Cricetulus griseus: one gene and its partner. The main gene of each other region encodes a partner of the protein of the gene in region 2 in a complex. Links are inferred from orthologs where the notes say so. Each region holds a gene or a part of one and is shown on either strand. Other genes may lie near its edges.

What was found. The genes of interacting proteins can lie anywhere in the genome.
Region 1: Med13l (region 2) and Med23 share a complex: the UniProt entries of both Homo sapiens proteins name them as parts of the mediator complex. The link is inferred for Cricetulus griseus from reciprocal best matches to the Homo sapiens genes MED13L and MED23.

The regions. Positions count from the first base shown.
Region 1 is NC_048595.1:244,052,768-244,056,413, forward strand, and holds part of Med23 (mediator of RNA polymerase II transcription subunit 23), read left to right. Parts: intron 1-1,015; coding exon 1,016-1,085; intron 1,086-2,479; coding exon 2,480-2,592; intron 2,593-3,646. UniProt on the Homo sapiens protein: Required for transcriptional activation subsequent to the assembly of the pre-initiation complex. Component of the Mediator complex, a coactivator involved in the regulated transcription of nearly all RNA polymerase II-dependent genes.
Region 2 is NC_048597.1:98,443,992-98,448,411, forward strand, and holds the start of Med13l (mediator of RNA polymerase II transcription subunit 13-like), read left to right. Parts: upstream 1-1,613; coding exon 1,614-1,685; intron 1,686-4,420. UniProt on the Homo sapiens protein: Component of the Mediator complex, a coactivator involved in the regulated transcription of nearly all RNA polymerase II-dependent genes.

The DNA.
Region 1 (3,646 bases), on a different chromosome or scaffold from region 2:
TGTGGCTTTGGAGGATGTCCTGGAACTAGTTCTTGTAGACAGGCTAGTCTCAAAGTCAGATATCCACCTGCCTCTGCCTCCTGAGTGCTGGGATTAAAGGCATGGCCACCAACACCCGGCCTCAGCCTGCTTTCTTATAGAACCCAGGACAACCAGTCCAGGAATTGTCTAATCTTATGGAGGCATTGTCTCAATCAGAGTTCCCTCCTCTTAGATGACTCTAGCCTGTGATAAGTTGACATAAAATTAGCCAGTACAGTATGTATATCAATGCACATGCCGTATCATGCATATGGAGTCAGATCAGCTCTGGGAGTTGGTTTTCTCCTTTGTCAGTGGGATCCAGTACTCAAAATTAGGTTATCAGTTTTGCACAACAAGTAATTTCACCTGCTGAGCCATTTCATTTCACTGCCTCCTTCGAAAAGATAGTGATTTATGTATCAGAGTGAACATGGGGAAAGTAAAGTCAACTCCCTAGAGTGGGAGGGGTCCCAAAGGAAAAGTAGTGCCTTGATTATGTTATTATGCTTGAGTAGCATATATTTTTATACTTAATACTTATTTGTGTGTGTGTGGACTGTGTACACCATGCATGTGGCTAGAGGCCTAAGGCTAACCTGCATAAGTCATTCTCTCTTCTGTCTGTGTGTCCCAGGGATCATACTTATGCCATCAGGCTTGGTGTCAATCATCTTGACTTGTTGAGCCATATCACTGGCCCAGTAAATGTATTTTTAGCATAATATATTTGTTTCATATTTCTGTTAGCCCATTGGGACAGTTCTTATGTGCTTAAAAAGCACAAAGCTTCATTGACTAGGTAAGGATCTAGTGGCTTGGCTTAACTTAGGGACACACTGGGTGACAAGTACCTGGAAGAAAAAGAGTGCACTTGTCTTTGAGTAATTACTCTGTGCCAGGCTTGTACTAATTCTTTATGGGTATTATCTAAATTTTAATAGATGATCACTCTGGGTAATCTTGGTCTTTTGTATTATCTGTTTTCTTTTAGTTACTAGGAAACTTGGTATCAGACTTTGTGGACACCTTTAGGCCCACAGCAAGGATAAACTCCATTTGCGGTAAGATTACAATTTGAAGTTTGCTTAGTATATTACTTAATACCTGATCTTTAGTGACTATGAGTCTGCTGGACAAAGCTGAAAGATGGCCTCTTATGAGTGGCTTGCCACTTTGTAACACTCGAGGAAACTAATAATGTTTATTTTCAGGTGCTTTGGATAGGCAAAGACAGAGATCATAGAGTGGTGTAACTTTCACATAAGACCATTCTAGAAGTTGTGTTACCTAGTAACTGGGAACACTTTTTATTTTGTATATTTTGATTAGCTTGGTATAACTTTTATTGTGTTTTATTTTTGGATTTTTAAAACAAGGTCTGTGTAACCCACACTGGCCTCAAACTATGTAGGCCGGGGCTTCATGCCTGCTGAACTACTGAGCTACGTCTATAACGCCTGGAAATGCTTCTTAAACTCTAGGCAGCTGGAAATGCCAGCAAGCTTGTTCTGCTGTGGCTATAGTATGGGGAATACCAGACTCTTCTAGTCCATTATAATTCACACCTTAGCTCTTCATTGGATATTTTAGCTATCTACTTTTTTATGTTTGGTTTAATTTTCTCATTTGATACTCTTTGCAATGCCCAAATGTATTTTTAGAAATTGTGGCAGCCACATAACTATCTGGGATATAGACCTTCTTTTAATGATCATCTATTGAGCATTTCTTAAGAGTCAGTGCAGTTTTAGACACAGGGAATATAAACATAAACTACATAAATTCTCTAGACAAAAAATCCTGAACTCTAGGTTTTGTAACTGATCGGATAATAATATCCTTAAATGAATTACAGAAGTGAAGCAGATCTTAAGAAAGATGAAGGTGAGTTCATTTCAGGTAGGTTGAGCTTGGGATATCTATGGAATAGCTAAGTGACACTGTTGTTTAGGCAGTCAGCATATGCCACATCAAAGTCTTCTAGAGAAATCTCACAAAACAAACAAATAAAACCCAAAAGCGTTAACTCTAGAGCAGAGATCTCGGGCTGAATCTGTACAGTCCCATCTCATAACCATCGGAAGCTTTGTGTTGTAGTCTGTGGCAGCTTTGCTGCCGGACTACAAAGGTGACTGTGTGTCATTACAACTTTGTAAAAGCAGATAGCCAGCTAGATTTGGCTCAGGGACTGTACTTTGCTGACCTCTGCCTTAGACACTAAAACAAAACTCAACAGTTTCAAATTTGGAAGCCTTGTACAAATTGATTGTTCAGCCATCTGAAAGAAATAAAGGTAATAAAAATTCTCACACTTTAGTCTCCTGACAGCATTGTTAAAGGCATTTAAACCAGTGTCTACCCCAGCATGCATATTCATTACTATCAAAGAGGTATGAAGAACCTGGCATTGCCTCGGTCAGATTTACATAGAAATGTTTTTGTAATGCGTGTACAGGCCGTTGCAGTCTTCTGCCAGTTGTGAACAACTCAGGAGCCATCTGTAACTCATGGAAACTGGACCCTGCAACCCTTCGCTTTCCTTTGAAAGGCCTTTTGCCATATGATAAGGTATGTGTTAAATCCAATGTAACTTTTAGTCTTCTAAGAATCACCATCCCATAGTGTCTAGTGTTCAATGTCAGATGCCTTTTAATAGTCTGGGAAAGTAAATATTTTAAAGAAAGATAGCTTATGGCTTACTGTATTTTATGATGTGTGCTTTGGTTTTGTCTTTGGTTTCCACTTCTTTTGCTAAGGTCTTGCTATGTAGCCTTGGCTGGCCTGGAACTCTGTGCAATAGTCTGAGCTTGTGGTGCACCCCTTCCTTTGCCTCCCGGTGCTGAGATGACAGCTGTGTACTGCCACATCTGGCTGTAGGTGCTATGTCATTCTGCTACCCCAGGTATACTCTGTGGTTTGTGGGTTTGCCTTTAGGAGTACTTAGATATAGAAAGCTCTCCTCAAGTAGAGTTCTTGTCTAAGGCTCTGCATTTAAAGAACTCAAAGATGCAGGATTTGAACTGAGGACCTACACACATTACTATTGTTCTTTTGGCATCTACCCTTTTCAAATTTGGCAATAGTGGTTAACTTGAAGAGAACGTTTGAAAACTGTATCCATTCTCTTTGGTTAGATTTATAAGTGGAAGATTCTTTTCTTTACAATGATGTTTACGACAAATGTGACTGTCTGAAGTCATGTTTCTGAGTTTAATACCAAAGCAAAGAGGGTATGTTTTTTGTAATCACTAGGGGTTTTTCTGTTAAGGAAGAACAGTCCCACTAAGTTCATTAATGAGCAGTCTTGCAGATTGCACAGACTCCATAGTCCTTAGAACTGTATCCACAAAGCTAGTTGTTGTTAGTCATGACTGTAACCCCAGAGGCAAGAGGACACTACGAGTTCCAGCCATCCAGAGCTTTATAGTAAGTTCTAGACCAGAGTGACACCCTGTCTCAAAAAAAAACAAAACAAAACCAAGCAAACAAAAAACAACTTGTGTCTACAAACCAACCCTTACTATTAAAGTTTCTGTGTAAAACTGACTGGTTATTCTGTTTTTAAGTGGCCCATGGAATTCTTTTTTTTTTTTAATTATTGAGATTTTTGTTCTTATTTTAT
Region 2 (4,420 bases):
TTTTCCAGAGCCTTCTGAATTCAGATACTCATGGCGTTGAGACCTTCAGGATGTCATTGCACCTCTCTGAACTAGCTCACCCAAGTCGGGTTCTGAGGATTCTGTGAAGTAACGTGTATGAACCACCCTCTTTCCTGGTTTTAAGGTTTGGGATACTTTCAAAGCTCCATTCCTATGTCAGCTTTCTCTCACCCGTATTACACTCCCACCCATCTCTCCTGCGTTTTACTCTTCCTTTGTTTCTTTGAGACTGTGTAGACCTGTCTGGCCTGGACCTCCCAGAGATCCGCCCGCCTCTGCCTCTGAGTGCTGGGGTAAGAGGCCGCGTCCCACTAATTCTACCTCTTTTCAAGCCAAAGTTCCCCCTCCCTGTATTTTGGGGCCGAAAACTGGTGAGTTGGTTGGAAGATAGTGTCCAGTATCAGCACTTCTCTCATTACTCTGAAGAAGGAATGCTGATTATTGGACCCTTGGAGCCTGAGGAAGGGCCTGCTCCCCACACAGCACATTGTGAATGTGGCACATAGCAAGAGCGCTGGGGACATTTATGCAAGGAATGCCTGCACGCACGCAGAGTGGGCGCAAAATGCTCCGGAAACATGCGTGCTTTAGGAGCTCAGCGCTCGGTAGGCAGCGAACCCCGAGCCCTGGCTTCGTAGTGCCAGGGTTCGAATCCCGCGTCCTCGGGCAAGCGCCTCGCTGCCTTTGTGTCTCTGAGTCCCACTCCTCCGCCCGGTGAGCAGCGGCCGGCGGGCGTGAGGTTTCGAGGACACTCCTCGGTACGGTCCGACAGGCCGGCCCAGCCCGGCCCACGCCGCGCCCCAGGCCCGAGCAGCTACCAGGGCTCCGGAGGCCGTGCCGAGAAGCCGCGGCCTCCTCGGCCGGCGACAGACGCGCGCCCGCGCCCAGGGCGGGGCGTCCACGCAGCCCCGCCGTCCCACGGCCGCCCGCACCTCTTTCTCTCTCTCCCTCCCTCCCTCCCTCTCTCGCTCGCTGGTCCCCGCTCCGAGAGGGCCGCGCTCGGCTCAGCAGCGCTCCCGCGAGCCGCACCGCCGCCGCCGCCGCCGCCGCCGCGGCCCCTCCCCGCCCCCCGCGCGGCCGGCGCCCGTCACGTGACGCGCCGCAGCCAATGGCGGGCCGAGCCGCGGTCGGCGGCCGCCATTGCTGTCAGAGCGAGCGAGCCCGGGAGGGAGGAGAAGCGCGGCCGACTGGGGAGGAGGGGGGGGTGGGGAGGAAGAGGAAGGAGGGGACGGCGCTCGCTGCCGGGGTCGCCCGCTGGCTTCGTCCGCACCCCCCCCTTCGCGGGCTCGCGCGGCAGCGGCGGCGGCGGCTCGGGGCGGCTGCGGGGCTCGCGTGCCTCACGCGCCGGCGCGGCGAGGGCGAGTCGCCCGCCGGCTGGAGATAAACAAGGCGGCCGACGAGGCGGCGAGGCGGAGGCGGAGGCGGCGGCCCTGCGCGACAGAGGCGGGCGCGTTGCCGCGCCGCGCCCCCCGCCGCCGCCGCCGCCGCCCTCGGGCTCCGCGCGCGGCCTCGCGCCCCGGTGCCCGCGAGCCGCCGCCCGGCCCGGCCCGCTCCGACATGCCCCGCTCTGGCGGCCGGGCTCGCGGAGGACCATGACCGCCGCGGCGAACTGGGTGGCGAACGGGGCGAGCCTGGAGGATTGTCACTCCAACCTCTTCTCGCTGGTGAGTGGCGGGGCGGGGGCCCGGGTGGGGGGCGCGACCTCCCCGCCGCGCAACTTTCTCCTCCCGGAGCCCCGGCGGCGTCGGCGAGCGCGGCGCCCGGCGTGGACGTACGTGTGGAAGTCGGGGCGCTGCGGACGCCGGGGCGCGCTCGGAGCGCCCACCTCCGTGGCAATCACACCCCCCTTCCTCTCCCCTTCCCCCTCTTTTTTCTTTTCTTTTCTTTTCTTTCTTTCTCTCTTCCTCTCCCTCCCTCTCTCTCTCTCTTTTTAACTCCTTCCCGAAATGTGGAAGGCTTAGAATTCTGCCTTGTGCAGCCGCCGGCGCCTGCGATCTGCAGGCTCGTCCTCTCTCCGGATCGGATCGGCCGCTCTCCCGCGTCTGCCTTCTGAATTTTCTTTTTTTAAATTCCACAATGACACCTGCGATTTCGACCGAAAACAGTTGATGGAAGGCGATTGTGTCAGGGAAAGGACTCTGGCAGCGGAAGCTCGCACGGTTGTAAACACGGACAGCCGCCAGCCTCTCGGGGCTTACTATGCTGGAGAGCGGGAGAGCCATTGCTCAGAGCCCACGGAAGGTGGAGGAAGCTCCTGCTCCTCGGCTCTCCTCCGCTGCCTTTAAAAACTGTTTTTTCTGCCCTAACAAGGAAAACACACACACACACACACACACACACACACACACACACACACACACACACGAGAGAGAGAGAGAGAGAGAGAGAGAGAGAGAGAGAGAGAGAGAGAGAGAGAGAGGAGAGCAACAAGCTGGGCGGTTTGATAACATCGCTTTTATCTGCCTTTGCCTCTCCTCTCTCCCGCTTTCGCCTCTCTGATAATTGACAACTTTTGCTTTGGAAGTGCATCGCCTGCCTTAATCTCGAAGCATTTAGGGTGTCAATTGTTCTCCTGGAAGCCTGGCACCCGACGAGGGCGGCTCGATTCATCGAAATTAAAAATGTATAGGGCTCCAGCAACTCTTTCCTGGCGGTGGCAGTGACATTTGGTGGTAAATGCCATCTTTGCTTTTTATTGGGTCGTATTACCTCGCTCTGAAAACATTCGCGTTGTTAAACCTGGTGCTTAGACTGATAATGGGAGTGCGTGGTCTTTAAATACGCGCTTTGTGCCTGAGTTACTGTATGTGGAGCTATGTGCCCGGGAGAGTACGAATTTGTTTAAATATTGAGCAAAGATTTGTAAACAGATGTAAGGCAATTATGTTTCAAGCGTAGAATATAATTGGAAAATTGGTTGAACGGCTTATTTAATTTAGCCTTAAAAACTCAACTTATTTTAAGTTGTGTGCCCAGTATTTGTTTTGGGGGGGGCTGGGGTACGCTCCCTTTTGGAGAGCATGCATTTATTGCAAATTATTTTCTGTAACCCCTGCTGTAGATAGGAGCTTTATTTCCTCTCAGTCCTTGTTTACACTGGATAAATAATTTAGTGTTGAAATTGTAATTAGTTACATTTAATTATGGGTGGCATAGATGCTTTTTCTCCCCTTGGAGACTAGTGGAGAAATACGAATTCTTGCCAACTTAGGAAGTGTCATTTTATTTTCATGCAGATAAAGAAATCAAGCATGATTTTGGCCTACAAAGACCTAGTGACATAGTACTCCTGCTTGCAGTCCTGTAACAGTGTAACAGCAGGCTGATTTCTTCTTACTCTGAATTGAGACTCAGTTAGAAGTTGGGGTTCTTCCTTCACCGCTGTGGTAATTTACCCCTTGATCTTTTGATGTGAGGATAAAACTACTTTTGCCCCCCCCCTTCCTCTGTCTGTCATTTAGTATTAGGTTCAGGAACCTTCATAGATCAGCAAATGTATTGATTAAGGGGTATTTAAAATGGTTTTGTTTGGCGGCTGGGTGACCACATTGACATACTTACAGGTAATTAAAATAACCAAGTCAACCCATATTAGTTTGGGAGAGCTCCCAAATTACCATACATCATGCTGACTAATAATGGCTTGTGTGCATGTGGCTAATTTATAGACAATGAATTGTGTGGACAAATGAAAGACTGTTGGTGCACAGCTGAACTGTGAGGTCATTCCTTATCTCTTGAGCTTCAAGGGGGTGATAGTGTAGAGATGAGATGTTTGAAATTCCTTGTTGAAGATTCTGGACTTTGATTTTTACTGGCCTAAGGATGCATTCTGGGTATTTCTCCCCTAAACATCTTTAAACCAAAGAGTTGACTTTTGAATATAATTTAAAGTATAATTAACTTTTTGGGTAATCCCTTTGAAATGCAGACATGCTTAGATTGGTTTAAAAATATAGAATGTTTATATTTCATGGTACCTAGGGATGTATAAATGCTGTTTAATTGTTCAAAATGGCTTATTTATTTTTATTTTATGTGCATTGATAGATGTTTTGCCTGCATGTATGTCTCTGTGAGGGTGTCAGATTCTTTGGAATTGGAATTACAGATGGTTGTAAGCTGCCATGTGGTTGCTGTGAATTGAACCCCGGTCCTCTGGAAATGCAGCTAGTGCTTTTAACTCTATCTAAAATTTATTTGAAGAAAAAAAAATCAAACTTCAGTCTTTTCTTCTGATTCCAAATTGAGAATTTTTCCTGAAGATCATATACAGACAGCAGCAATCTATCATGTTAAGAATACATTGCCCTAACAACATAGTTGATTCCAAAGGGTTGGCAGTGATCACCTTTTCAAAGTCATGTGTATGTCTGAAGAACTATAGGTACTTGGCATT